Mus musculus: one gene and its partner. Each later gene encodes a partner of the first gene's protein in a complex. Links are inferred from orthologs where the notes say so. Each region holds a gene or a part of one and is shown on either strand. Other genes may lie near its edges.

Region 1 (3,808 bases):
TCTCACATTGATCCATTATTACAGTAGAGTAACTCTGATGGAAGCTGTGGATTGCTAACTGGATCAGGTAGTCCTGGCTCTGGTTTTGGCAACTTGCTAAGTGTCTTTTTGCGCCATGGACCGTGGGAGGCTCTTAGTGAAATTGCAAGCGATTGGATTAATGGCAGGGCTTCGAGAGCACATTAAGAATGTCTTTTTAGAGAAATAAAGTGTAATGACTATAAAGTAGGAAGTGTGGGGGACAAACGCTATCCCAGGGCCTCAGTGGAGAGATCGCTGTGTTTTGCATAAATAATGCAACTCTAGCTTACCCATCACTCCCAGGTCTTGAGAGGATCCCCAAACTTACACATTTCAGGAATGTGTGTGTGTGCTACAGAATTAACACCGATGATGGATGTCAGAGTTAATAATAGCCCAAAGAGCTTTACATTTGAAGTAGCTTAAAGAAGATAATGATATAAAAATATTCTTGTCCCCAAACTGGCTTTTCTGGTTGTTCACTGCCTCCTGACAATGGAGTCTTCTGTAAGCTGTTTCCCTGTAGATCAGCCAGTCTGAAATTTAAGCTCTTAAGTTTCTACTCACAGGACCAGGAGGCTTGGTGCTTCAGTCTTCTAAGACTCAATAGGGAGTTAATTTAGCTACTAGAGACTGTGGGTGAACCAAGAATTAAGTAACAGCAATTACTATAACCAAAATTATCTGGGAAAAATGGTGTTATTTATTGAAAGTGTGGTTGTGTTTTTTTTTTTTTTTTTTTATTTTAAACCTTCTCTTAACATTATTGTCTTCATTTGTACTTATCAAATGGCTAGCTGTTTTCAATGCCTTTTTGTTTGTTTGAGTCTCATAACATAAATGAGGTGCTCTAGACCTCAGAGATCTGTCTGCCTCTCCCTCCCTAGTGCTGGAATTATAGGCGAGCTCCATATGTGTAGCTCTTCATGGCTTGCTTGGGTTTTTTGTTGTTTTTATTTTTGTTTTTGTTTTAATATTTTTTATTATTATGTATTTTCTTCAATTACATTTAGAATGCTATCCCAAAAGTCCCCCATACCCTCCCCCCCACTTCCCTACCTACCCATTCCTATTTTTTGGCCCTGGCATTCCCCTGTACTGGGGCATATAAAGTTTGTGTGTCCGATGGGCCTCTCTTTCCAGTGATGGCCGACTAGGCCATCTTTTGATACATACGCAGCTAGAGTCCAGAGCTCCGGGGTACTGGTTAGTTCATAATGTTGTTGCACCTACAGGGTTGCAGATCCCTTTAGCTCCTTGGATACTTTCTCTAGCTCCTCCATTGGGGGCCCTGTGCTCCATCCAATAGCTGACTGTGAGCATCTACTTATGTTTTTGTTTTTTTTAAGCAAGAGAAAAATAACACATAGACATTTTCTTGTTTTCTTTTTTCTTTCTTTTCTTTTGGGGGAATGGAACTCTTAAAATGTTAATTAGTACAAAATGTGTATAGTTAGATATTTTCTGGTAACTTGAAAGTCTCAATTCAAGCTTTACTAGATAAAGGCCACAATCAACCCTGAAGATCTGATGCAACCTCTTGTAACAGTTGCTTCCTAAGTGTGACCCCTGAGGCCTCCTAACTCACCAGCAGCTGTAATCTATACATTGAGCATGAAAATATAAAAAATTGGTTTTCCTACTTGACTGTGCCTGGCTGCCCTGAGGAGTGTTAGTGAGGTGCAGGTGCTGACGGGGGAGGTCAGAGATAGGGCTCGGAACTGGATATCTCGAAAGCTTCCAGGCAATGTCCATGGCTCCGGGGCCTGGCCTGTGCTTTGAAGAGCAAACATGTGGAGTCCAGCCACCGTGCTGCAATGGTAGAAACTTGTATACATTTCAATCATGACATCACCTTCTTGGACTTGGACTGATTCAGATTGGTGCACATTTGTGAGCACTAGGAGGCGTGGACGGAGATTGTCAGAGGGTGCAAGAGCAGATAGTGTGTGGGGGCTGCTGCTTGTGACTTAAATAAGCATTTGATGGTGGACTTAATGAATTCTAAGAAGCTTAAGCTTTGCTCCCAGTTGACTTAGAAACCTAAAAGGCAGGCAGGCACTGTTTCCACGGCTGAAGTTGCGGGCTCCCCACGTGTGCCATGGTGTGTTATCACACATATTCTCCCCTTTCCACACAGAGCATGATCTCCTCCATTGTGAACAGCACGTACTATGCAAATGTCTCAGCAGCAAAATGTCAAGAATTTGGAAGGTGGTACAAACATTTCAAGAAGACAAAGGATATGATGGGTAAGCAAAAAAAAAAAAAAAAAAAAAAAAAAGAAAGAAAGAAAGAAAGAAAGAAAGAAAAAAAGAAAGAAGAGAGAGAAAAGAAAAAAAAAGCCCATCCTTTTGCAGTGGCAACATACCATTGCATGTCATTTGGGGGTTTATCAAAGTCACATCGAAAGCCAGATCTTTTGATTGCCCAATTAGAGATCAATTTAGAATGTTTCTTTGGGGGTGGGGGAGTGGGTATGAGTATAATGAGATAATTAAATTCAATAAATGTTTGTGTTTAAATCAGCTACACCGACTCGGTTGTCAGACATGCAGGAAATCGAGGCGTGAGGAGAGCTGTCATTTCGTAACATCTCAGTGAAGACCTAACCAGGCCTTGAATAACTAATACCGGCTGTGACTTCTCACAGAGATAATCATGCTTAGGGACTTTTGCTTTTGTTTGCAAAAAAGAGGAAGAGCCCGTTTTCACAGCAGCTTTCAAACAATATTTAACTGCCTTTGACTCGCTAGAGACAGTTTGGTTCCACCATTGAGATGGAGTGGTTTTTATAGCTCCAGCTCCCGTAGGTAGGAGCTTGCTTGCCTTCCTACCTGGAATAGAACCAGCACTTTTCATTTCTGAACTTCCAATTCTAGTCTAGCACCCTCTCTGCACACACAGCATTAGGTCAACATTGTTAGGCAGCATCAAGATGAGCCGAGGTATAAAACGATGGGTCACAGTTGTGTGCTATGGCGGAGCATTTGGAGTCTGGCATGTTCTCTGTTGTGGATCTGTTAGAGCTCACAGGAGCACACACTATGGTTAAGGGTAATATACCTTCCTCTTTCATACACTTCTAGATACTACATCTTAAAATCAAACAGGAATGGGGTGCCTCATATACAAAGTGTTATGCCCTATTGTAAATCTTTATCACTGTTACATTCACTTAATAGTAGCAATAATAACTTTTCCTGAAGACTTAGAGATAAGAATTTTGAGCATGTTTTAGCTTTTAATATTTGAAGAAAAGCCATCCATCTACCAAAACGGATTCTTTGCCTTTTATAGCTTAGGGCCGTAATGAAGACAATACATCAATTTTTGGAATAATTGCTTGAATTACTGTTCCATGCGAATGGCCCACTTGGGCTGATGTCACTGGTAGAAACTAAGGGTTTCTTTCCATTCTTAGTTATATTTTGCATATAACATTGAGTATAGCAGTATGACCAGTTCCTCTGATTATAAAATCTGCATCTTTAATGAGAAGAGAAACGATGATTAAAAGCCAAATAGAGCTTATCTATGGAAAGTGTGGACATCTGAAAAGGTTTACCTATTTATATTACACTCTGGTCTCAGCCTCCCTCTAGTCTATTCTGTGTAGCAGCAAAAGCGTTTGACACACTTAGAGCTGACTCTCAGCCAATCCACACAAGTGTTCTAGCCAGGGGAGAAGCATTCATCCCGGGTAGGTGAGAATAAATTGCAGAATCGTGACAGTGCCACCATTGTACCAGAACAGCTCTTTGCCCTTCCTAAGCATCTGCGAGAG
Region 2 (4,567 bases), on another chromosome or scaffold:
TGCTAAGCAGCCTTCTCCTCTAGGCTAGGCGACAGAGAGCGAGGAGGGGGAGGGGAGGCCAGAGCCGTGGGAGTTCTCCGGGGCAAACTTTCCACCCAAGTTAGCGCCTTCCCTCTGTCCCCATTTCCCATCTGTTTCCTAGATCTCCCAGAATCACCTTTCTCTTTGGCTCCCCCCTCCCTCAGGCCTTTTTAAGGGATATGCAATTTAGGTTGTTCCCTCTGCTTTCCCAAAGAGCCAAATTCTTTGATGCAATCGGAGGGAGCTGTCAGGGGGCTAAGATTGATCGCCTCATCTCCTCTTGGTCCCTCTGACCCACTTATTTAAAAATCTTCCCCCAGCCGACTTTTCATTTTCAGCTTTGAGGCCTAGTTTCCCACCAATTTGCTTGTGGCTCTGAGGTTTTTTTGTTTTTGGTTTTTTTTTTTTTTTTTTTTTTTTTTGTTGTTTTTTGCCTCCTTCCTCTAGTAAATCACAATATTCTAAAATTGAGCCCATCATAGGTGCCTCACCATAGAATACATTACATTTTTTTTTCTCTCTGGAGGCCCAAAGCAGAATATAATCTCAGTGGTGGTCATTATCCCCAGCCCCCTCTCCCCCACCATCTTTAGGAAATGTTTTCTTACCAGGGATTTTAAAAGTAGCCCAAAGGCAAATACAGAGGGGGAAATCCCTTTGTCCAGAGGGCGACTGTGCACTGACTTTAGCTTTGAAAGTTAAGTGGATGGCTACTTTGGTGCCCTGGATAGAGACACAGATACACCTGGGGGCCTGTGAATACATCTGTCACCTTAGACCTTCTTAGACCCTCCTATTGCCAGGGTTGGGGTGTCACAGTGTGAGTACAGATGACCCCAACAGGAAGGCAAGTGGACATAAGAAACTGCTTGTAAATTCTGAGCAGAGACTAGAATCCAGGGCACATAGCAAGGGAGGTAGGCCCATGTCCCAAAGTGCTCCTGGAATCTATGTCCCTGCTGCGTGCCAGCTCTGTGCATTTCTTAAGTGTGAACTACTGCTTTCTGAGGGTGGGTGGGCTGCCGCTGCTGCTGGTGTTTAGTGCTGTCCTTTATCCATCTCCTTTCTGATTTCCCCCAAGGTATGGAAGCCTCTTTCTACTCCCACTTCCCCCTAAATGAGATTTTTTTTTCTTTTCTTTTGGGGGCTGAGGTGGTGGTAGGGTAAGAGGCTACTGAGGGCCACATAAAGAAAGCATATTAACTCACTCCATTTCTCCCTTAAATGTGGTTGTTTGCCACCACCACACAGTCTCTGAAGGGAAGGAAGAGGTTCTTTTGGCTTTTCTGGGAAAAGAGAGCCATTAGGGAGAGTGTAGGGTACTGATGAAGGAACAGGGGTAGAGGAGGAAGCCTCATGGTATCCAGGTCGTGGTCCTCTGGAGTTTTTGAATCAATTAAAGCAAATAATGCCTGTGTTTTCCACTAGGCCTAGACTAGCGATTGGCGGAGACCGGTCCCGTGACCATGAATTCCCTGCAATTTCGGCGGAGTCCTGGGTTTAATAGAGAGAGTCCCCATACGCTTGTATTTATCAGCAATATACAATTATAAAGGCCTAAATTTAAAAAAAAAAGAGAGAGAGCGAAATCTCCCCCCCCCCGCGAAATTGCTCCATTGCATAAACCTGGGGGGGGCGGGAGAGGGGGGTCCCTCTGATTCTCCCTCCTGACGCCCCCCCCAGCAGGCCCCCTCCCCCACCATTGAAAGCCATGAATTTTGAATTTGAGAGGGAGATTGGGTTTATAAACAGCCAGCCATCGCTCGCCGAGTGTCTGACTTCCTTCCCCGCTGTCTTGGAGACATTTCAAACTTCATCAATCAAGGAGTCGACATTAATTCCTCCTCCTCCTCCTCTGGAGCAAACCTTCCCCAGCCTCCAGCTCGGCGCCTCCACCCTTCAGAGACCAGGGAGCCAAAAGCAAGCCGGAGATGGGCCTGCTCTGCGGTCACCGCCGCCACTCCCCGTTGCCCCCCCAGCCCCCGAGTTCCCCTGGATGAAAGAGAAGAAATCCACCAAGAAACCCAGCCAATCCGCCGCATCCCCTTCTCCAGCCGCCTCCTCGGTCCGGGCCTCCGAGGTCGGATCACCATCAGGTGGGTAAACGTATTAGGGGCGGGGTGAGGGGCAGTTGGAAGAGAAGGGGAGAATGTGAGGTGATGGGGCTCCTGGTGGGGTTCCCTAGGTCGACGGATCTGGGGCGAGGGAAGCAGAGTATCCCGCTGGGGTTCAGGCCTAGCCACTGTTAGCTTCCCCACCCCCAGAAAATTTTGGAAGCTGATTGAGGGTGGGGAGGATGCTTTTTTTTTTTTTTTTTTTTTAAATGTGCTTAGAAAAAAATGATTCGATTGAAGGGTTTCCCCGGTTTCTGTGTAGAGGAATGAAGCGTGTCTGGGATTGAATCTGGAGCCTGGAAAAGATGCGATGCCTCTAGCTCTCCTAAAGCTAGGGAAGAAGAGGGAATTCAAAAGCTAGGAAGGAAAGGGGTGAAGAACAATCTATGATCCCTCTCTCCCCAGGTTGAGTTGGAAAGTTCTGAATTGAGGGGTCCATTGGGAGGACTTGGGGGAGGGAGACTCTGAGGTCCTGGGAGCTAAGAGAAATTGCTCCCCGCCCCCTACGTGGCCCGTGGGCGGCTCTGAAGGCACCGACTTGACCCGGGCCGGGTCTGCCTACGTGGAAGAGCACTAAAAAAAACCCCAAAGACACAGAAAGAAGCGCTGTGGGGGTGGGGTGGGAGCCCGAGTAGGACTGCTGAGAGTCTTTTAAGCCAAAGGGGTGCTCCCGATCTCAGCTAAACGGAGGCTGCGTTGAGACCTCTCTGATAACATAGGGGTGCTTCCCTCGCAGATGGCCCCGGATTGCCAGAATGCGGCGGCAGCGGCTCCCGCAGACTGCGCACGGCCTACACCAACACGCAACTGCTGGAGCTGGAGAAGGAGTTCCACTTCAATAAGTACCTGTGCCGGCCGCGTCGCGTCGAGATCGCTGCCTTGCTGGACCTCACCGAAAGGCAGGTCAAAGTCTGGTTCCAGAACCGACGCATGAAACACAAGCGGCAGACGCAGCATCGAGAGCCGCCCGAGGGAGAACCAGGCGGGCCGAGCGCCCAGGACGACGCGGGAGAGCCAGCCGAGGAACCCACGGTCAGCCCGGGCGACGTCGCGACTCACCGGCTGCGGGAAGCCTGCTTCCACCCCGCCGAGGCCGCGCAGGGACCCCGGGGCGCACCGCCGTCAGCGCTGCCTGCCACCACCCTGGAGAGTGTGGGCGCATCGAGCCCCGGCTGCACAATGCTCAGAGCCGGAGGCCGGCAGAGCGAGCCCCTACCCGAAGACGCCTGCCCCGAGCGGCAGGATTCGCCTTTTCTACCGGACCTCAATTTCTTCGCTGCAGACTCCTGTCTCCAGATGTCCGGAGGCCTTTCACCCAGCCTGCAGGGTTCTCTCGATAGCCCCGTGCCCTTTTCCGAGGAAGAGCTGGACTTCTTCACCAGCACGCTCTGTGCCATCGACTTGCAGTTTCCCTAACTGTTTTCCATCTTTGGTCCTTTCCGTCTGGTCCTCCTTGGCTGTTGGGGGCGGGGGGAATCGGGCCTTCTCCACTCGTGGATACATTTATGCCGTTTTGTTAAAATCCAGATAGTAACGAATTAGCGTTTCATTCACTCCTTTTCGCTTTTTAAAACCACACACAAAAAATTCCACTTGGTAAAACTCCTTCCAACGAAATCTCAGGAATAATTAAACTCTAGTGGGAGAGGGTTTTCTTACAAAGAACTAGAGGGACCTATTTTCCTCTTTTTTAAGTTTTAGATTGTAGATTATTTATTAAAATTGTTTAATAATAGGAAAGGGGGAAAGTATTTATTGTACATTATTTTCATAGCGTAAATAAATGTCTTTATAATATGAAAACGAGTGTTTGTGTTGGGATCTAGCTCTTTTTGCCAAGTCCCTACGGCCAGTCTTTGCTTTCCCACTCTCCGCTTGAAGTTGGTTTAGCTCTGGCTCAAGCGACCCAAGGGAAGGCATGGTCCCATCTCCCAGGCTGACAAAGTCCGGGTGGTACAAAAGGGGCCCTGCTTGGTGACTATTTCTTTGTCCAAGACACCAGGAAGAGTTTATGGAAGCTTGGTTCATCTGCAAACAGACCGTTTCCAGTCCTGCTAAGATGTTCCCTGGGTCCCTGCTTGGAAATAAATGTGGGGTGGGTGGAAAAACAGCGTTCTGGGGGGGGGGGTGCAGAAGCGGGTACAAGAAAATGTCTCAGAGGCCAGCTTTGAGCCTTGGAGGCTGCGCAGAGGGTTAAAAGAGTTGAAGGAGAAATCCTTGGGTTTGCTAGCCTGCGGGCTTTGAGTCTGCAAGCTTAGGCCGAGGCCTGCGCTGTGCGCCCGATGCTGCCTTGGGGCTCCAGGTCCTTGAGGACTAGAATGGGGCTTAGGAATTTTGTAGGGAAGAAGGGAGGCCCGGGCGTGGCAAGAGGCTTTTGGCTCACAGAAGTAGCACGGCGAGCGGCAGAGAGCGCGGGAAATAGGAACGATGCT

Evidence for each region.
Region 2: Satb1 (region 1) and Hoxb2 share a complex: the UniProt entries of both Homo sapiens proteins name them as parts of the nuclear protein complex. The link is inferred for Mus musculus from reciprocal best matches to the Homo sapiens genes SATB1 and HOXB2.

The regions. Positions count from the first base shown.
Region 1 is NC_000083.6:51,783,994-51,787,801, reverse strand, and holds part of Satb1 (DNA-binding protein SATB1), read left to right. Parts: intron 1-2,161; coding exon 2,162-2,273; intron 2,274-3,808. UniProt on the Homo sapiens protein: Crucial silencing factor contributing to the initiation of X inactivation mediated by Xist RNA that occurs during embryogenesis and in lymphoma.
Region 2 is NC_000077.6:96,350,079-96,354,645, forward strand, and holds Hoxb2 (homeobox protein Hox-B2), read left to right. Parts: upstream 1-1,553; 5' UTR 1,554-1,732; coding exon 1,733-2,117; intron 2,118-2,344; exon of another isoform or gene 2,345-2,521; coding exon of another isoform or gene 2,522-2,540; intron 2,541-2,871; coding exon 2,872-3,551; 3' UTR 3,552-3,938; downstream 3,939-4,567. UniProt on the Homo sapiens protein: Sequence-specific transcription factor which is part of a developmental regulatory system that provides cells with specific positional identities on the anterior-posterior axis.